Tamandua tetradactyla: one gene and its partner. The protein of the gene in region 1 interacts with the protein of each later gene in a pairwise test. Links are inferred from orthologs where the notes say so. Each region holds a gene or a part of one and is shown on either strand. Other genes may lie near its edges.

Evidence for each region. The genes of interacting proteins can lie anywhere in the genome.
Region 2: the proteins of TLE5 (region 1) and C2H1orf94 interact in binary tests that used the Homo sapiens proteins (3 or more experiments, as listed by UniProt). The two-hybrid records come from large-scale screens. The link is inferred for Tamandua tetradactyla from reciprocal best matches to the Homo sapiens genes TLE5 and C1orf94.

Annotation. Positions count from the first base shown.
Region 1 is NC_135337.1:79,361,510-79,372,288, forward strand, and holds the start of TLE5 (TLE family member 5), read left to right. Parts: upstream 1-5,939; 5' UTR 5,940-6,009; coding exon 6,010-6,036; intron 6,037-6,910; coding exon 6,911-7,008; intron 7,009-9,814; coding exon 9,815-9,878; intron 9,879-10,779. UniProt on the Homo sapiens protein: Transcriptional corepressor. Acts as a dominant repressor towards other family members. Inhibits NF-kappa-B-regulated gene expression. May be required for the initiation and maintenance of the differentiated state.
Region 2 is NC_135328.1:191,531,468-191,541,945, forward strand, and holds the start of C2H1orf94 (uncharacterized protein C1orf94 homolog), read right to left. Parts: upstream 3,895-10,478; 5' UTR 3,036-3,894; coding exon 2,707-3,035; intron 1-2,706.

The sequences.
Region 1 (10,779 bases):
CATCTTTTTGACTTGTTAGAATGAGGAATGTTTACCTTGATGGCTGAGTTTTTTGGCAGCCCTCTTCATTTTATGCATGAGGTGAATGCCAGAGTTCATTAGGAAAGTCACTAGAAGTCTCATTGAGAAGGTTACTTTTCAGCCATGACTGGAAGGAGATGAAGGAATTAGCCAAGCTAATTGGGGAAGAATGTTCGAGGTAGGGAATGGCCTGTGCAAACACCCTGAGGCAGGACTGGGCCTGGGTGCTGGAGGAGCAGCGAGGAGGTCCCAGTGGCTGGAACCCTGGGAGCAAGGGGGGAGCGCGGGGGAGGAAAAGGCAAGGAGTGTGGGGCTTGGTAGGTTACAAGGAAGCTTTGGGCTTTTCCCCTTTGAGGGAGGTAGGAACCATGGAGGGCTGTGGGCAGAGGGGGGACGGGCCCTGATTGGAGTTTTTTTAAAAGACTGTCAGCATCCATCTATGGGTGAAAGTCACCCTGGCAACATGAGAGATGACTCCCAGAGATGAGCCTGGCCCCGGCACTGTGGGATCAACAATTCCATCCTGACCAAAAGGGGGAAAAGAAGTGTAACTAATAAAGTATCAGTGGCAGAGAGAGTTCAAATAGAGTCGAGAGGCTACTCTGGAGGTTGCTTTTACACAAGCTTCAGTTAGACCTTACTACCTATCATAACTTGCCAAATCTCAACCAGGACCATTCCAACCAATCCTAAAGAAAACTAGGGCAATATATAAGATTCCACAAGGGTTCCATGCACTAGGGTAACTTTCCAGAAACCTACAACCTCCAGATGGGGCCCTGGACCAGATAAAGCCTGAAACTTAGAGGGCCCAGCCTCTCCAGAATATCAACTAGTTCCATCTCCTTAACCCATATTATTGACAGCCCCTTCCAACATGAAGAAGTTAGAATGGCCATTGCCCAAATACCCCTAAAGAATGGGACAGAAAGATCAAAGGTGATGGTGGAGTCATATAGAGAAAGCAGAATTTAACAAATGAATATGATTGCTGAATCTTTAAATTGATATGTCTTTTAGTCTCCAGTATCTTAGAGCAACTAGAAGTAAAAACCTAAAAGTGTGGAATTGTAACCCATACCAAACTCTGAAATCTGTTCTCCAACTAATTATTGTGCTGTGCTTTGACATTTACTGCTTTTTTGTATATACGTTAGTTTTCACAAAAAAAGGAAAAAAAAAGTCAATTGTGGCGATAAAAAAATATTTATTCCTTCTAGCCTCCTAAATTCTGGAGCAGCTAGAAGGACAAATCTGAGAGGATAGTTTTGTAGCCCATGACAGACTCTGGGATCTGTCCTATAATTACTTGTTGAAGTGTGCTTTGAAAACTTGCTTTTTTCTTTCTTTGCTTTGTATATATGTTACACTATACAATTTTAAAAGTTTTTTTTTAAAAAAAGGTCAGCATCATGAAAGCAGGGATCACGGTCACTGCTATAAACCCCCACTTAGACCCATGCCTGGCATACAGTAGGTGCTCAATAAATGCTTACCAAGGGATTCAATGAATAATAGCTCCACGATGGGGCTGAGGATGAGGGGAATGCGCCGGGTGGTAAACTCATACTGCCTGGGGTCACCTGGCCAGGTAGCAGCAGACAGGGGTCAGAGTTGGGGGGACTTGAACCCAAAGCCGACAGCTGAGGTCCAGGCCCCCACCAGGTCCTTCCTGGGCCTCATGCCACCTGTTTGCTCCCACCTCTGACTGATGACCACATAGCTCCCTCCATCCATCACAGCGGGAAAGATGGTCCCAGAGGGTGGGAGACAGCAGACAGAAGCCATGCCCACCCCCTCCCACCCCCTCCTTGGCCCTGGACCTGATGCTAAGAGCCCCAGAGGTGGACATGTGGGGGTGGGGAAGCAGGCCTGCCACCTAGGGCACTGTCCTCTCCCAAAGCCCCCAAATCACACAATCGAATCTATTTCCCCCTTAAAGAGCTTCGGCTTTGAGTGATGACAACATTTTCCTCAAGGAAGGTGGTGGTGGCAGCACCCCACTGTAAAAGAAACTGATGCCACTGAATTGGACACTTAACAACGGTTCCAGTGGCACATTTCACGTATTATAGGCGGTTCCACAATTAAAAAAAAAAAAATGACTCCCTCCAAGGTTTCAGCTTTTTACCCTTTCTCTTTCCCTCCAGGCCCATGTGGATTTTTTTGTGGTCCCCAAAATTCCTCCTTATTCTGGGCTCAGCCCAGGCCTGTCTTTTTTCCAGCCTTGGTCTCCTGGCCTCCTGCCTTCCCTTCCTCTGTTCAGGCCGCCAGCTGGAACCTTCTACACCTAGTCTGGATCAAGTCGGAACCTTCTACACCCAGCCTGGGTCAAGTCTCCCAGCTGCTGTAACTCAGTGGTTCTCAACTGGGGTGATATTATCTCCCCCAGGGGACACTTAACGAGATCTGGAGATATTTTTGGTGGTCAGGACTGGGGATGGGGATGCCCCCGGCATCTGGCAGATGGACGCCAGGGAGGCTTGCTCAACACCCTAAAAGGCCCAGGACGCTCCCCACCCCAGCTAAGAATGATCCTGCCCCAAATGTCAGCAGGGCAGAGGCTGAGGCCCCTGCTCTAAAACCCCCCATGGCTCTCCAGTACCCTCAGAGTAAAATTCCAGTTCCTTAGCCCAGGATGCGGGGCCCTGTGTGGCCCCTGACCCTCTCCAGCCAGTTTTCCCACCCACCCTGACCTGTTTTCCTGCCTCTCCCTCCCTCTGAAGGGCAGGATTTTGTAGTAGCCAAGGGCTCAAGCACCTGGGTTTAAATCCCGGCCTTGCCATCTACCAGCTGTGTGACTTTAGCCAAGTTATTTAACCTCTCTGTGCCTTGGTTTTCCCGTTTCTAAAATGGGCATGACAGCAATAACTAAGACTTAAAGGGCTTAAGAAAAAGTCTGGAATGAGCTGGGACTCAGCATCAAGGGATTGTGAAAACCTTGACCAAAAGAGGGAAGAGAGAAATGAGACAAAATAAAGTGTCAATGGCTGAGAGAGGTCATCCTGGAGGTTATTCTTACGCATTATATAGAAATCACCTTTTTAGTTAAGGTGTAATGGAGAGGCTGGAGGGAACTGCCTGAAAATGTAGAGCTGTGTTCCAGTAGCCATGTCTCTTGAAGATGATTGTATAATGATATAGCTTTCACAGTGTGACTGTGTGATTGTGAAAACCTTGTGTCTAATGCTCCTTTTATCTACCTTATCAACAGATGAGTAAAACATAAGGAATAAAAATAAAAATAAATAATAGGGGGAACAAATTGTTGAAATAAATTTAATTTAGAAGATTGAAATGCTAGTGATCAATGAAAGGGAGGGGTAAGGGGTATGGTGTGTATGAATTTTTTTCTTTTTTTTAATTTCTTTTTCTGAATTATGCAAATGTTCTAAGAAATCATCATGATGATGAATATGCAAATATGTGACGATATTGTGAGTTATTGATTATATATCAAGAATGGAATGATCGTATGGTAAGAATGTTTGTGTTTATATGTTGTTGTGTTTAAAAAATAAATTAATTAATTAAATAAAAAAGAAGAAAGCATCTGGAGCATAGTAAAACCATGTAAGTTGGGTGGTTTATTATTACTTATAGTTTGGGCCACACTTCTTGACTTATCTACACACTGGAAACTCCTTCTTCTGAAAATGACTTCCCCTTTCAAAGGCAAAACCTGGGGTCCTTCTCTGTGGCCTAGCCCCAACCCCCTGGGACTCGGGGTGTCTGTATTGGGTTCTGCCTTCCCCCGACGATGGGGGTGTTGCCTCTGTGAGGCTCAGATCCAGGGGACACCCAGAAGAAAGAGCATCTGGTTGCCATGGTGAGGGGGTGGGGACAGGAATTGGGGCAAGGCTGATTTCATGGGCCCCGAAGGGCCTCCAGTCTGGTTTACCTCCCCAATACTGCCATCTGGGTATTCTAAATACTTTTTCAAGAAGGGGACCTGTAATTTTCATTTTGCCCTAGGGGAGGCCCCCCACAAATTCCGTAGCCAAGTCTGGTTCAGGGGTTCCGTTCACTCTGTGGGTTCCGCTGATTCCAGAAACTGACAAGAATATCAAGGAACTTTACTAAAGTCTGTTTTTTTGCTTAGTGTCAGGACCGAGGACAGCTTTGCATTTGCCCAATATGCCTGGTCCTCTCATCCTAATCCTGGCCCTTTTCAGATTCTGTCTTTATGCATGATGTTGACATCTTGTTCATCTTGCGTGGATTTTTATTTTAAAAAATACCACATTAAAATATCTTTTATCTTACACGCGCACAATGGAATATTATTGTACCTTAAAAAGGAGCGCAGCTCTGATAGGTGCTATAAAGTGCGTGAACCTCGACGTCACGTTGAGTGAAAGAAGCCAGGCACAAAAGGACAAATATCATATGATCCCACTGATAGGAAATTATTTGAATATGCAAATTGCTAGAGTCAGAAATTAGAATACCCGTCTACCATGGGGTGGGAAATGGGGAGTTCATGGGGAAGGCATGGAAAAGTTTTTGAGGGGATGACGCAGCACATTATGAAGATAACACCACCGAACTGTATACTTGAAAGCGGTTGAAACAGGAGATGTTATGTTGTATTTCCATTAGCACGATAATATTTTTTTAAATAAGCACAAGAAAAAGGAACATGTATGTGCATTATCTGAACAGCTTCAGTGAGGAGACTCTCAAAACCAGGGACAGCTACCCCCTCCCCCTCCCAGGGAGCCCACTTCCCTGAGTACAAGCCTAATAATTCCTCCCCATAACCCATAAAGTCTTGCAAACGTGCTCATCACCTCCTTGTAGGGACCAGCTACATAATTTGCACATCCGAATGCAAAAGGAAGCTGCAAGGCTTTTGTTCAAAAATTATGAAGAATGTCAAGAGGCCAGGGCAGAACATAAAACCTCCCTACCCTAGTCTCTTCCTCCATTCTCCCAGCGCCAGGCCCCATCCTGCCTCAGGGCCTTTGCACTGGCTGTAACAGTTCTCTGAATCTGCTCCTCCCAGCATATCCCCATACCCCTATGGGCTCCCAGCCTCTCCTTCTTCAGGTTTGCGAGTCCCTCTCTGATCTCCCCCTATTTAAACTGTGCCCTCTCATTGCCATCTGCACCCAAGAATTTGACCAGTGTATTTGTTCTTTGTGCGCCTGTGTCACCTCCCCTCCGTGGCCTTGGCACACAGTAGGCGCTCAATAAACGCCTGCCACAGTTACCACCGACTGCTCTGACAACGACGAAGAAACTGAGGCCCACAGAGGTTGGCCGCTGGGCCAAGGTCATCGAGTCCAGGTCACGCCATTGTGGTGCCCGTGGCTAGGAGGCTGGCAGTCCGGCCCTTTCTTTGACAGGTGGGGAAACCGAGGCGCAGCAGGCGTGAGGAGCATCCCACCCCCCACCCCCAACCCCTCACCCCGGCCCGGCTGGCTGGGAGCCCAGGGCGGTGGACGCGCCGTGTCCAAGGTCACCGTGCCGGGCCGGCCCCGGGGAGGGCGGGCTGGGGGGGGGTGGGGGGGAAGTGGTGGGGTGGGGGGGAGAGGCAGGCGGGGGTGGGGATCCGCAGGCCTCCCCGGGCGCGCGCTCCCCCCCCTTCGGCGGCGCGCACGGGGCACGGGAAGCAGCAGCAGCAGCAGCAGCAGCAGCAGCAGCAGCAGCAGGTGGAGCCGGAGCCTCCGCAGCGCCGAGGCCGCGGCCGCTGCCGGCGTCGCCGCCATTAGACAATAGGAGCGGAGGCCGCGAGTGCGGGGCGGGGCGGGAGGGAGCCCGGCGCGCAGGAAGCGGGGCCCGGGGCGCGCCGGGGCCGGGCGCGCGGGGAGGGGGCGCAGGAAGCGGGCGAGGCCGGGCGCGGGAGGCGGCGGCGGCGGCGGCGGCGGCCCCGGGAGCTGCCGATCGGCGCCGGGACAAAGGCGCGGCCGCCCGGCGCCCGGAGCCGCCCGAGCCGGGGGCGCACAGCCGGGGCGCATTGCGCGCCCCCCCGCCGCGACTGACATGATGTTTCCACAAAGCAGGCATTCGGTAAGCGGGGCCCGCTCGGCCCGGCTCCCCCTTCCCCCCACCTCCATGCCTGCTCCGGGGCCCGGTTCCCTTCGGCGCTCTAGCCCTCCACCCCCCACCCCACCCCACCATCAGCTCCGGGGCCCCGCACCCCCCACCGAGCCAGGCCTTGGCCTCGGGCGCTCCGGGAGCCCCGTCGGCACCCGTGGCGCTGGAGATCGTTTTGGGGCCTGCGGGGTGGGGGGGCGGGGTGGGGGGGGGCGGGAAGGGCGAACCAAGGGGCACCCCTCCCGGAAGAACGCCGCCTCGGGAAGGGCAATGGAGCTCTGGAGTGGGTGTCCCCCCACCCCCGCCCCGGAAGATTCGGGCGCTGGGAGAGGCCCTTCCTGTAAGGAGACTTTGCAGGGAGGCCTCTCCCCCCCACCCCCCCCCAGTTCTAGCTCGAGGAGGGGACTTTCTAGGACGCGTCCTTTACCTCCCCCTCCACCAGGGGCGGTTAGGGCGCTCGGATGTGCATCCCCGCTCCCCCCCCTCCCTCCACTCCCGGGGAGCTTTGGAGGAGCTGTAGAGGGCGCACCCTGCCCCCACCAAGGGCGGGCCTTAAAACGCACCCCCACAATCGGGGGTGGCGGGGGACTAGGCGGCTGCGGGCGCACCCTACCCCTCGGCTTCCCCCGGGAGAGGCGGGGGCAGGAAGCGGGGGCAGGGGCCGCGCTGGGGGCTGTAAACACGGGCCCAGGAAGTGGGGCAGGAGCGGGGGTGGGGGCGGTTGGAGGGCGGAGGGGGCGCGCTGCAGCTGCGGCAATCGCCGCCTCCCGGCCGGCCCGCGCGGAATTGGAAGGGAGGGTGGCCGGGCCCCCTCCTGGCGGTGAACCGGGCGGCCCCCTCCCCGCAGGGCTCTTCGCACCTACCCCAGCAACTCAAATTCACCACTTCGGACTCCTGCGACCGCATCAAAGATGAGTTCCAGCTGCTGCAGGCCCAGTACCACAGGTGAGCCGCGGGCAGGGGTCCCAGGCTCTGGGTCGAGGGCGGGGGTGGGGGTGGGGGTGGAAATGTGTCTGAATCCTACTCCCCTCCCTTGTACGGAGGGCAAGAAGGAGGCCTGGAGCCGAGATCTTGGCCTCTGTTAATAGACTTATGCAAACAATGCAATCATAGTGGCTCTCATTACAGCCACCCCATTCCTACCAAGTCCTGAGTACCTTACCGATATTGATATTAATTCGTATATTTTTAAAAACTGCCTCATCTCACGGATAAGAAAAATAAGGCACGAAAAAAGTTAAAAGATATGCCTGGCCTTGCAGCTGTCTGGCTTCAGAGCCCCAATTCCACCATCCCTAATGGATAAAAGACCTCTGAACAACTGAAGTTCCGGGATAGAACCCCCTGCCCCAGTCCCCCTAAAATGCTCTCTGCCAAGATTTGGGGAGAGGGTTCCTGGTTTCCAGCAGATTCTCAAAGCTGAGTCTGTGGCCCGAATTTCATCTAACATTTCTAAAAGGCCTGCCATGTGTCAGGTCTAAGTGGATGGAGCTTTTCCTTTCTTCCCATTAGGCTTAGGAAAAATTAAACCCAGAGAGGTTAGGGGATTCCTCCAGGATGCACAGCAAGCACGAAGAAGTAGTGAAGCTGAGATTTTGAACCCAGTCTAAGAAAGCAAATTCTCAACCTCTCTGCCCTGGTGGGTGGGGACTGGTCTGGGAATCAGGAGTTCCATGGTCACAGAGCCCAGTAAGACCCTGGGCCATCTCTGGGACTTAGTTTATGCACTCATAAAAGTGATCTTTGAAAGATCCTGGATTTTTTCTAGGAAAAAGTGGGAAGGCCGATTTTTTTTAGTGCAAATATCCACCCTTTTGGGGTTGTCCCGTATGCTAAGCACTGAACATGTTCCCTCTTGTTTAGTCCACCCCACTGTGTTGCATGCTGTCCATTATAAAGATAGGGAAACTGAGGCATAGAGGGTTGAAAGCATTGGAGGGTGTGGGGGCTTTGCCTGGTAGACCTGGACATTCTGGGTCCAAAGGGGGGCAGTTTCTCCCGCCACCCTAGCCCATGCCCACCTCACCCTGAGTACCCCAGGTATAGTCCCAGTACTGTCACCTCAGGCCCGCTGGACCCCCTTCTAAGCTTTTGCATCTCCTGCTAGGCCTGGGTGACCCATGAGGGGCTTTCCCTTTTCGGGGGCACATACAGGACCTGCCAAGCAGGACCAGCCCAGTTTCACCAGATTGTCTGGCCGGTTCATCAAGAATGGCCGGAAGTCCTGAGAGTGGGGATGAAATTGCCTGAGTTGTTTTGCTTTTGTGGTTTTTTTTTTTTTTTCTGGCAACAATTGCACACTTTTAAAAGAAACTCAGAGAAAACCAACTTTAGCGGGGGCCAAAGAAACTCCAACCTTGGGCATGTTCACATCGCGGGCCATGTCACGGTGTAAAATACCGGTGTCCCGAGGTGGTGAGAAGATGAAGCTGCGTTAATTGAGCGCTTACTGTGTGCCAGGCACTGTTCAAAGAGGTCTCCTCGTCTTAATTCACTTTAATCCTGCAAACCATCTTGGGAGGTCGGTACTTTGCAGATGAGTAAATGGAGGCTCAGTGAGGGAGGAAAATTTGTCCAGGGTCACACTGCAAGGAATTGGCAGGGTGAGTTTTGAACCCGGGCCCTGTGGCTGGGGAGCCTGTGCTTTGAACCACTCTCTGTCTCTTGTACAACCAGGGGTGACAAAGGTAGACCCTGCATACCCCTTGCTGGATCAGATTTAATGGAGTAAAGGAAAGAGGCTCGCCACCCCCTCCCCCCCCACCCCACCCCTGGGCCTTTTCTCAGCTGATTGACATCATTGCTAACTCTCTCCTTCCTGCTCCGAGGCCCTTGTGGGGGAAATACCCACAGCTTATCTTTGCTGGGGGAGCCAGAGAGAGGCAAGATAAAGTTTTATAGAACCTACCATGGTGGAAGTGATGCAGTTTTTTCCCAGTTAGAGAAAGGAACAGGGTTGGGGGCTCTGAGCTGGTCCAGTCCCCTCCCCATTTTACCCCTCAGGGAAATAAGGTGGGCCCAGGGCCACAAATCCCAGTGGGGGCTTTGTGTCCTGTCTGGGTCTCCTTGGACCCACCCACAAACGTGGTGGGACCACTTGAAGATCCCCAGTTGCGTTCAGGCAGGAGCTGACCCTCCCCTCCCACCCTCCCAGACCGCTCCTTGATCCCTGTCACTATTTCTGCAGTTTCTCACAATGACGAGGTTTGTGGCCTCTGAAGCCGGCCTCGCTATGCTTCCTGGCTGTGTGGCCTTGAACCACTTACTCAACCTCTCTGGGCATCATCTGGAAAAAAAAACAAGAGTCGTGATAATTCTGCCAGCCTTTCAGACCATTTCACAAGGATTGATTGAATGAGCTGCAGTCCCTGTCTTGATATAGAGGCAGTGCGTTTGTTCTCATTCTTCTGATCTCGTATTGTGATTTACTTCCTTCATCAGCAGCCTGGAAGGCTGGTCTCATGTCCCCATTTTATAGCCAGGGAAGCTGAGTCTCACGGCTCTTTGCCCAGCATCACCAAGAGCTCAAAAGCCATCAGTTCCCGAGTTCAGCAGATTGTGTTTGGCCATCGTTAAGGTCTGTGGCTTCACTGTGAAGGCCCAGGCTGATCTTAAGCTGTACCGAGGACTTGGCTGGGGACATGGGGAGCTCCCCAAGTGTCCTTGAAGCCTCAGTTTCCTCTCCTGCACCACAGGGGAGCCTGAGCCTAGCCTCTGACCTGTATCCCTGCACCCCTTCCTCCTTCTTCAGCCTGAAACTCGAATGTGACAAGCTGGCCAGCGAGAAGTCGGAGATGCAGCGCCACTATGTGATGGTAAAGTCCCCCAGCCCAGCGGGCAGAGATGGGGGCACGGGACGGGGGATGGACCCCAGACCCAACCCCACCCCAGTACAGCTGCCGCTTAAAAAAAACCCTGGCTGCCTTCTCTGTGGAGTCCGAGATTCAGGGGCTGCCCTCCATCCAGCTGGCCCCTGCAGGGCTGAGCCCGCCTTGCTGGCCTGGCTGCCGGCCGAGGCAGTGGCCGGAGGTGCCAAACCACCGGATTGTAGTCTGGGCCTGCCAGGTCCCCCGGCTGTCCTTGGCAGCTGCCGCACCACCGGCTGTGGCCGTGAAAAGTGGGGGAGCAGCTGGCCCCTCCTGCTCCTGCCCCCCCAAGGTTCTCTGGGCAGCCAAATGCTTAACCCCTTCACACCCAAGCCGTGGAGGGAGAGCGCCCAGGCCTGAAGGCTGACACACTTCTCCTGCCCTGTTCTCCCGGGGGTGGCCCTGCATTCCGTGGCCTGACACTTGGGGCCTTGCCCATCTGAATTGCCAGAATCACTTGCTTGGTTTCATACCTGCCAAGTGGCTATTTCTGCATCGGAAACTCCCTGTTCTGCCCCCCACCCCTTGCCTAGCCCAGCAGGGTATTACTCAGCCCAGACCCCCAGCTATCCCAGGCTTTGGGGGGGACACAGATGGGGCAGACAAAGGGACCCAGGACTGCAGATCCCAGGGGGAGGTGCTGCCTGAGGGAGAAACCACGAAGGTGGACTGGAGGATGGGGCATTGCAACTGGGATCTTGAAGGATAAGTAGGAGCTTGCCAGGCAGAAGAAGGGAAGGCATATAAAGGCTTGGGAATGAACTTGGCTTTCTCCTGGGGTGGGGGTGGGGGGTAGATGGAGAGTTATGGGAGGGTTTACAGCAGGGGGGTGGGGTAGGGTCAGAGCTGG
Region 2 (10,478 bases), on another chromosome or scaffold:
GCCTGCCCATGTGGGAAAAAAATAAAAAGGTCTACAAATTAAGCAGTGGAAAGATGAACTGAGAGGTGTCTTCTGGACCCTGGACAGCTCCCCACCTTTAAAATCTGTTTTCTGATCTGTGATCATTCAAAACATGGGACTTCCAAATATTTTGACTACCCAAAAAGATGCCTCAGGTTGTTGGGGGAAGATAGCCAACATGAGACAGCCCTGGGTTTGATTTCTAAAACTCCACCACTTCTTAACTTTGTGCAGTGAAATTAACTCCCTCCAAACTTCAGTTGCTTCAACTTTAAAAACGATTTCATTAAAGACAATGGAAACAAGAATGGCATAAAGGTAATAATTATTGAAACTCAGTGATAGACACAGAGACATTCCCTATACTATTCTACTTTTACGTATCTGAAAAAATGTATAATAAAAATAAAAGAGGGGAGTTTAATAATAATACCTGCATCATGGAACAATTGGAGGGCTTAAAGTATTTATCATCAACATAATTACAAGGAGATTTTACAAATTAGAATTATTGCCAGAAATTTCTAAATACCATATTTAATCATCCCAATAATCCTATGAAATGGATAGTCATTTCCATTAAGCTGATGAGGAAACCAAAGCTCAGGTAAATTAAAGAGTCATTAATCCTGCAGCTGGCACAGGGCTGAAATGTGGTCTGAAACCAGAGTTGTCTGGCTCCACTATCACAGCTGACTTTATTTCAAGAATAGCTCATTGTGTTCTACTTGGTTGGCATCGACGCACTTATGATATCGTTATTCATCTAAGCCAGTGGTTTCCTAGCTCTTCTCTCAGCAGCAGAACTCTTTTTTTTTTTTCTTTTTTCAAACGCCTTACTCAGAAATCCAGTAAGTAAAACCAATAAAAACAGAACAGCTGGGTTGAAGTGGGGACTGGAACCCAGCAACCAGTCCACTTGACTCTTGGGTGGCCCCTGCAACACCTTAGGGTCTGTGGAGCATGGGTTTAGAACTCCAGGTAGAAGTCAACAATAACAACAGCAACAAAAATGCCCAAACCCAAGAATTATATTTTAAGGACAGCCTACATTAGTATAATGCATCTCTGTTTTCCTGTCTTCCATCATATTTGATCCTCATTATCAACTCTGAGGTGGACAAGGCAGGACACATCATCCTCAATTTGCAGATGAGAAAATCCAGGCCAAATGAAATTAAGCAACTGGTCAAAGGTGTGCCAGTTCAATTTTTGGCCAAGTACAGACTGGAAGAGAGTCTGTCTCTATTCACTCAGTGGGACCTGGCAGGGAGTGTGCCGCCTACTGGAAATTGCTACTGACCCTTGGTCCACAAAGTGGACAATTGGATGCCTGGCCAATGGGACCTGAGCACAGTCCCTTGGGTCCCTGTGCCAAGGCCCTGTCTCTGAGCAGATGGCAATGGGTAGGGGAGAGAGGCTTATTGCCACTGGAGGGCCTGACAGCACGACTGTGGCTTTAGACAGGCCACTCCCATCCAAGCCTTATCCTGCTCAGCATAGGGCAGGGGAGGCATTCGCAGCCAAAGTGCCTTCCACCCTGGTCTGCAGCCAGTTGGTAAGTGCAGCATTCAGTGCAGACCTGTGTAGCAGCTATAGTTTGCTTTTCTCCTTAGCTCTTGCTTGGAGATCCCTGAATCTGGAGGCAGCTGATAATTGCCTGCATGGTTCCCCCACTCCAGAGCATCTCTGAACTGAGCTGGAGCATGTGTTGGCATAGACAACACTTAATTATCGCTTAGTCTTTAATTAGCACTTAACTGTTAACACTTAATCCATCTGTAAAATGGGGACACTAATACCTGCCTCATCGGGACTCCAGGAGGATTAATTAATGTTTGCGGTCCACTTTGAAGTTGTAAAGCACTGAAGAAGTGCTCAACAGTGGCATTAACAGCCACACTGAATTTATTTTCTTTTTCTTAATGAGGTCTCTTCCTTTTCGCTGCTTCTTTCTCTCCTTGCAAATATCTATTCCCAACAATATCTGTCCAATTTTGCCCTGGTAAAGAAACATTTAGCTCTGTGTATCCCAGACACAGGATTTCCCATCCTGGAAACGGGCTATTTACAGCCTTCTTCCCACACTTTAATTTTCTATTATGTCCTCTGAATATGTCAATGCCTTCCCAGTAAATATTTTGATGTGAGCTTTTGCAGCAGCTTCTGTGAAGGCTGAATGGGACAGCTGCTTCCTGTATTAGGGAATTCCAGATGTGGTTTAAAACCACCAGGCTTATCTTGTGTGAATGCCCAACCTTTGGGGGGGGGGGGGTCAGAAGAAGGATCTTCTGTCAGATTCCGGGGAAAGCCAAGGGTCTCCGGGGCCCACAAGCTTCAAAAGAGATATCTACATGCTCCTCAGCCTTGGCTAGGGCGTTTTCTGAGGAACCTCAACCCCAAATCTGGTTTGGCTATGCCTTGAAGATGAAATATGTCCCCTTACTGGGCTGGTGAAGAAGCAGCCTGGAATACAGCCCTGGTCTGGCCCTTCATCCAGTAACGTCAAGACCTAAGACAGCTCTTCCAGAAAGGCTGAACAAAAGACCATGGGGAAGGGTAGAGGAAAAGTATATAGTCTTTAGGGTTTAATCAGACTGAATATTGGGCAAGAGCATTTCCCCGGAAAGTCAGAACTCATCTCCTCCCTCCTCCCTTATGCCAACCAAGCAGGGGTACACTCACTCTTCTTGGAAGCTGAGCCTGTTATCTCGTGGAGTCCCAGCCATGGGGGCAGAGGGCTGCTCCGTTGAGGTCCTGGGCTGCAAGGCCTCCTGCAGACCCTGAACCCTCTTCCAGATTTCATGGCAAGTCTTGTCTAGGCTGTCTTGGGGTGTGTCCTGGTGGATCCAGATGTATCTGGGGAATGGGCCCAGGGCGGAGGGGCGCTTGGCCATCAGGGCCGAGGATGAAGGGAATCCATTCCCACTGGCCATTCTCGTCCTTTCCTTCCGGAAGCCCCTTTGTCTGCCCAGGGCTCGCAGACAGAGGGACCATCCGCCACCACCCTTCATTCACCAGAAAGGGAGATAAGGATGGGCACTGGCAGAGGCAGGTCAGTTCTGGCTGGCCGTTGCTTGGACGAGGTGACTATGTTCTGAGGCCCCTGATTTGTCTGTGAGTGGTGGGTAGAGGACGGCTTTCTTTTGGGGAGGGGGAGCTTAGTTTGATTTGTTTGTATCTGCTCTTCCCTGACTTTTGTCCCCCTCCCCCTCTCCCTTAGAAGAAAATATTTAAAAGTCAACAAAAACCAGTAGCTTAGTAACCGTGGAATCCCCCGGAGCTCAGGAACCAGGCGCTTGGGCGGGCAGAAGGACATCTGGGAACGGCTGGAGGGGGAGGGCTGGCTCTCCCCAGAATCCCAGGCGCTCCACCCTTGCGACACACCCCTGACACCTGGCGGCGCCTGGGGCTCAGCCCATCCTCTCCTACTAAGCCACGGGGAGGGGGGGAGTGGTGAGGCGCCTGGCTCCGGGCTAGGCCCGGTGGGGGCAGGAGCCCGCCTTTAGAATCTCAGCTCCGGCCTTCCCAGGCCGAGGGCCAACGGCCCCTGACCCCCTCTCCCCACCGAGTGCCCGCCTTTGCTCGCCCCCCACCCCCTTCTGTCGCCTTCTCCAGAGGCTGCTCTGCCGCCCCGGGGCAAGAAAACTTGAGTCAGTCAATCCGGGCGGCCCGCAAGCCGCCCCCGGCAGCCCCAGCAGACGCCGGTCGCGCCCCCCGCGCCAGGAGGCCGGGCTGGGCCCCCGGAAGGGTCCCGACGCTTTAAAGGGGCGCTGTCGGGCAGGGCGGGCAGGGCGGGGCGGCTTTGGCCTATCTGCGTGCCAGCGGCCCTCACACCCTTCCCGTCCAGCGCTGCAACTCCTTCTGTGGCTTTCAAACGCAACGGCTCGGGGCGCGGGCCGCGGGGGTTCGGCGTCCGAGGCCCTCAGGCCGCCGCGGTGGGGGCGGGGGCGCCCCGAGGGTCCCGGGCACTTTCCCTTCTTAGAAATCCAAGAAAGCGGGGCAGCCTCTCACCCTGCTACTCCTCTCCCCGCTGCTCCGCAGGAACCTCGGCGCCAGCCAGCGGGCCGTGCTCCTCCACATCGCCCGATTATAACCCTAAGTGCCATTTTATGGGCACTTCCTGTGTGCCGAGCGCTGAGCTCTCCGTGTCATCATACACAATCTCTGCAAACTCACGCAGTTAATACCGTGTCTTTATTATCGTTCCCCATATGCAGAAACAGTCTCACGGTCATAAACGGATGAGTTGAAGGCCCACAGCGAAAACGGGCGCTGGGATTCAAACCCAGGCACTCGAGGCCTGCGCCCGCGCTCTGATCCCCGGGAGAGCCTCTTCCTTCCCGCGCTGGGCTTCCACGCGTCCTGGGAATGGGCGGCGGTGGGGGGTGCGGAGGTGCAGAGAGAAGGGCCAAGTGTGCAGTTTGCTAGTCAGGTAGCTTCTGCTCTCATTGAAACTGTTTTATTACATTCGGAAATGACCCAAGACTTCTGCCCCAGGCCCTCCAGCCCCAGGAGTTAGTGGTTGTTCCTCGGGTTGTTTCCTCTGAGAAGGAAGAGTAAGAAGGCAGAGAAAGAAGAAAATGGAATGGATACAAATAAACGAGAAGGCAGCCTATAGACATGGAGCTGGACTGACTCCTGGCACTGCCACTTCCAAGGTGTGGGACCTGGATCGACTTGCTTAACTTCTCCCATCTTATGTACTCATTCATTCACTAAATATTGATTAGCCCTTCCTCTGGCCCTTGCTGGGCACTGAGGAAACACGAAAATGAACAAAAGAGCTCACCTGATCCTGTATTCCAGGGAAGGATGATAGATCACACAGACTTGGCAAAGCAAAAAATAAACAATATTTATGGATCAATAGGGCTGGGACGGAAAAGAACAAAGTGAGGCAATGGGGAGTAGGTGGGTCCCCATAAGACGATGGTCCAGTAGACTTCTTTGAGGACATAACTTTTGAGATGGCAGGAAGGATGAGAGAGAGTTTTTCCTGTAAAATGGTGACAGTAAACCATAATAAATTATATGAGACTCAAATTTCCAGCACATAGTGGGCACTTAGTAAATATGTGTTGAGTGAATTAATGGTATACTATATGTTAAGTGTCTGGCATATAGTAGGTGCCCAATACACTACCTTGCTCTTTACAGAGAGGCTGAGTTCCTGGAAATGTTGACTCAATTTTGAAATCCGAGCTTCATCCCTCTTTGATTTTCATTATAAAATTGAAAACGTGTTCCTTTGGGGAAAATTCCAAGGACCTAGACTGAATAAAATTATAGTTAAGAATGTAGAAAACCTTTTAAGATAGTGTATTTAAAGGCAAAGTGATAATTTCTGATGAAATATTAATAGTTCTGAAAATGTCACTCAGTGTTTGTGCTACTTGGCATTTGGTTGGCTAACACCTATGCTTAGAGCAGAACACCAGCTACCCTGCACTACCCAGGCCATGGGATCCTGGAAAGTTAGCCAGCTCACTTACTCCTTCTGCCCTCTCTCCCCTTTAGCAGGAGACACGGGACAGGGAACAATGATAAGGATGTTTCTTGGAGCACACAACTGAGGCTTCCAGAAGATGCTGCAGACCTTAACTGATACACTTAGAGATAATATAAACTGTGTGCTATACAGTAACCCCTGGTCACATGTGGCTATTTGGGTTTAATTAATTCAATGTACATAAAATTAGATATTCAGCTTCTCAGTTGTACTAGCCACGGTTCAAGTGCCCAACAGCCACATGTGGTTAGTTTTAGAATACTAGCACAGGAGACATTTCCGTGATCATATAGGCTCTAGGACAGACTGCCTGGGTTCAAATTCTGAGTTCTAGCAGCGTAAACTCAGGCAAGTTACTTAACCTCTCTGTGCTTCAGTTGCCACATCTGTAAAATGAGAATGATAAAGAACACCTGCTTTGTAGAATTGTTATAAATGTTCTATTACTAAATAATTGCTTACCACATGGCTAGTTCCTAGAACAACACCTGGCAAATAAGAAGCATATAAACATGCTGTGTATTAGTTTTCTCTGATTATATTGGACTGTGTGTCTCTGGAGTTCCTGAATAACAAGACTTTGTGCCATGCAAAAAGGAGAATATTCGCTGTATTTTCAGTTGTACAGGAAATTGCTCTGTGGCAGAGAAATGGACACCAGGCCTCATTTAAGCTGGCCTTCATGGTCTCCAGAAGGGAAACCCACAGAGTCACAGTTTTTCTTCTTGAAGACATATCTTTTAAAAAACCAGACTCTGCAGCCCAGTCTGGTTGCTGGGACATACAGGGGAGGCCCATTCCCAGGAAACATGTTTGCAACCTCCTCTTGCTTCAGTTCTGATGGTCTGTCTCTGAAGAAATCTGGCTAGGACCTACCTCTGCATGGTTGTTTGACCCAGTAAGCATACTAGACAGGGTAACTGGGGTCTCCCCCATTTTTAGGGATCTACAAAAAGTAGGTTTTTGAGCACCTACCATGGGCCAAGACTGTGTGAGACACAGGAGTTAGGGTGAATGAGACCTCTGCTCTAAACAAAGTCACAGTCTAACAAAGGAGGTACAAGCATTCTATAAGTGCCCTGGAGTACAGCACGGGTTTGATAAATGCTATTCCAGTCTCTGTTCAACACAGATGTATGTGCCCGGTACTGTTTGGGGTGCTGAAGATAGATAGTGAAGAAGACTGGCTTGGTCCCTTCCTTCTTAGAGCTTGAAATGACTCATTAGATGTTAACAGACAGCCTTTCATCTCTGAATTATTTTTAGCTTGGAAAGATTCTTAATTTACTCCTCACTAACCATATTACCCAGAGCAGGTTGTTTAACCTTTCTAGGATTATTTGCTCATTTATGAGCCAGAGATAATAAAAATACTGACCTCACAGAGTTGTTCATGATAATTGATAATACATGTAAAGTATTTAGACTAGTTAGCTTGGCACATGCTAGGTACCCAACGAATGTCAGCTATGATTATTTAGGGTTCTGGAATTCTTACTTTCCTATTTGGCTCTAGGAATGCCTCCGAAGAAGGCAATCCTTTTCACATATCTTTCAGCCAAAGCCTGCACTCACCTAGCTTCCACCTCCAACACAAAGCTGCTGGGTTGGAGAATCCAGAAAGGTGAGCACACAGCCTGGGCTCTTTTAAGGTATTTGTGGGCTTAAGTCTGCTTACTCTTACAGGCTCCAATCTGCATCTAATATGTTTCAAACACATCCACCTCGCCTCCAAAATACAACGTTTTGGCTGTAAAGAAAATTGAGAGGGTTTTTCCATTTTGCGTTTGAAAATTTGGGGCCATGAGTAATATATTTCATGTACGATTGGCTATGATTTCTCACCAGTCTCAGTGCCTACTCAGGATATCTTGCACAGTGAGAAAAATCCAAACTACAAACTCTTATCAAATGTAATGAAATTTTTATGACTGAATTCAACAGTTAATGAACTTAACATAATGTTACATTTTGCACTTAATTATTTAATGATTTAAATGTTGCAGGTTTTCCTCTTTGTATTTTGAAGCTAATAATGACATTTTCAGGCCTAAAACTTTTTTGTAGGTCCCTAAAAATGGGAGAGACCCCAGTTACCCTGTCTAGTATGCTTACTGGGTCAAACAGCTCAGGAGCGGGGCCCATGCAGAGGTAGGTCCTAGCCAGATTTCTTCAGAGACAGACCATCAGAACTGAAGGAAGAGGAGGTTGCAAACATGTTTCTTGGGAATGGGCCTCCCCTGCATGTCCCAGCAACCAGACTGGGCTGCAGAGTCTGGTTTTTTAAAAGATATGTCTTCAAGAAGAAAAACTGTGACTCTGTGGGTTCCCCTTCTGGTGACCATGAGCAATCCCTGCCATTTTCTAGGGGAGTTTTATCCCTTATTATTGTCTTGATTTCTTGCCCATATATGAAGAAGTGGTTAAGAGCTTGGGAGGTGGCAGCTGACATACTTGAATTTGACTTTCTCCTCTGCTACTTACTAACTGGAGGTTTCACACATGCTCTGGAATTTCTTCATTGCAAAGTGATAAAAACAATACAGACAAGTTTGGGTTGTAGGGAAGGGGGTGTGTGTCCAAATGGGGAAATGTGCGTAAAGTCCTCAGCACAGTGCCTGGTTCTGTGAACCCTTAATAAAAGATATTGATAATTATAGTTATTCTTATCATTAGCTTTTATTATTAACAACCATGTAATATGAAAATGGCATACTATAAGATTACCATTTACAGTTGGAGAAAAGAAGGCCATGGCTAGGGACAGAAAAGAATATGAGTCAGCAGTAGTGGCCCAGTAAGGGAGCATCTAAGTCAGGACCCAGTAGACCCTCTGGCTTCCTACTTTGGTTTTCTCCACTAAGCCAGACTCTAGTCATAATAGATGCCCCAAGAACTCCTACAGAGGTTCTAAATCAATCTCAACCAGAATCTTGATGCTTGGTTCCTTCTTCCATACCCTCCATGCAGGATATTGATCATCAGTGCACATTTATTTAGGAGTGGCTTTCAGATTAAAAAGCACAAAATTTGGCATCGAAGATTAAAGCCAGATCTAACCCGATCTAAAGAAAACAGAAAGAGCTGCTACTTCCAGGTAACTGAATTGGTCAGATCACATAGAGGTAAAGGGTAATAAAATTGGGTATCCTTATTTGTCAGTAAAGCAAAAATGGAAACATGTCAGATGGCACAGTTTTTTATTTTCTGACAGGAGAAAATCTTCATCTGCAGAGACAAAAAATGTTTCCTGGAAATAACCCCAAGCATGAATTTATCATGAGTCCTTGTATAAAGGACACTGAGTGATACGGTGGGCAATATATTCAATTCTGTTTTCATAAAAGACAGAAATGCCGTTAAGTTGGTCAGTTTCTCACATGAGGGTTCTCTGAAGGCAGAGTGCAAAACATTAAATCATAACTCAGAAAAGGCATTTCTTTAAGGAACTCAGATAATGAAGTCTAAGAGAGATACCTTTGGGTCCATTCCACAAACATTGCTGAGCACCTACTCAAGCATGCATGCATCCATCCATTCATTCAGTAAATATCAATTGAATGTCCACCATGCACCAGGCATTCTGACTGGCTCTGGTGATGACTGCTTGTAAAAGCTGATACCTGGGCTGAATTTTGAAGGACAAATAGGAGAACTCCAGCACAGGAGGAGTAGGGCTTCCCAGGCAAAGTAAGCAGCAAGGACAGGGGCCAGAAGGAAGGGAGAGAGAGCACCGCTCATTTCAGGGTGCAAGGGCCTCAGAACCACTAGAGCATGAGAGTGGGGAGTGGGGAAATACGAAGATAGAGGGGTGGTCAGGGGCAGATAATGGAGGCTCTTGTAGGGAGAGTCTTGCAGGGAGCTTGGATTTGACTCTATGTAGTCTGGAGAAGGTAAGGGAGCTGTGAAGTTGGGTTAGTGTTTTAGAAAGATAACTGGTGGCAATGAGGAAGATTCATTGAAGGGAGCCAAGAGCAGAGGCTGGGCGCCTGCAACACAGCTGTTGTAAGTAATCCAAAGAGAGACCTGGGAGATGTTAAGGAAGCAAAATTGAGGGGATTTGGTGACTTCCTAGATGTGGGAGTCGAGTGGGAAGAGGAGTCCAGGATGAGCTCCAGGTTTCTGGCTCAGGAACCAGGTAGCTGTGGAAACCATTTCCTGAGATGGGGAACTGAGTGGAGGGGCAGAAGGATTAGAAGCCAAGCAGGCTACAGTAGAGGGTCCTGTGGGACATCTAAGAGGAGAGTGGAGAGAACATCAGGCACAGAATAGGCAATGGGGACTCAGATGAGAAGAAAACGTTCCTGCCCTCAAGGAACCCCCAGTCCATGGAGCAAGACAAATGAGAAAGCTGACTATTATAGAGTGTGGAGAATTGCAGACAGAGGGCTATTTTCCTAGCGCCATTCCTCCAGAGTTCTGGACATCTGTGAATGCTGCAGATTTGTCACACTCCGAGCTACCTCCCCACCTTTACCCACAGTGTTGTTCCTAGAAATTGCCACTTCCCACTTCCTCCACTTCCCCCCACTGAGTTAGCCAACCTTCTCTTTCTTTCTATCATATCCTTTATCTCTCCTAGATGACTTACTCATGCTGGGTTCTTTAACACCCTTCTCAATAAGCTGTCCACTCCCTGAAGGCAGGCACCACTGGTAATGTCTTATTCCCCTTTAAGTTCTGTTCCTTCAGCACCTAGCACAGAGACTGGCACATAGATAATGTTTGTGGCATGAACAAATAAATGATTGAGTGAAGAGTAAGCAATGACCACACAGGATGTTACAGAAAAAGTCGAGTATATTTGGGCATTGCTAGTTGCTGTAATAAACCCCAATATTGCAATGTTTAACACTGTTAAAGGTCATTTCTCCTATAACACTCAGCCCAGGTATTCCTTGTTGGTGGGTGACTTTCCTCCACATTATAATCTGGAGACCCAGGT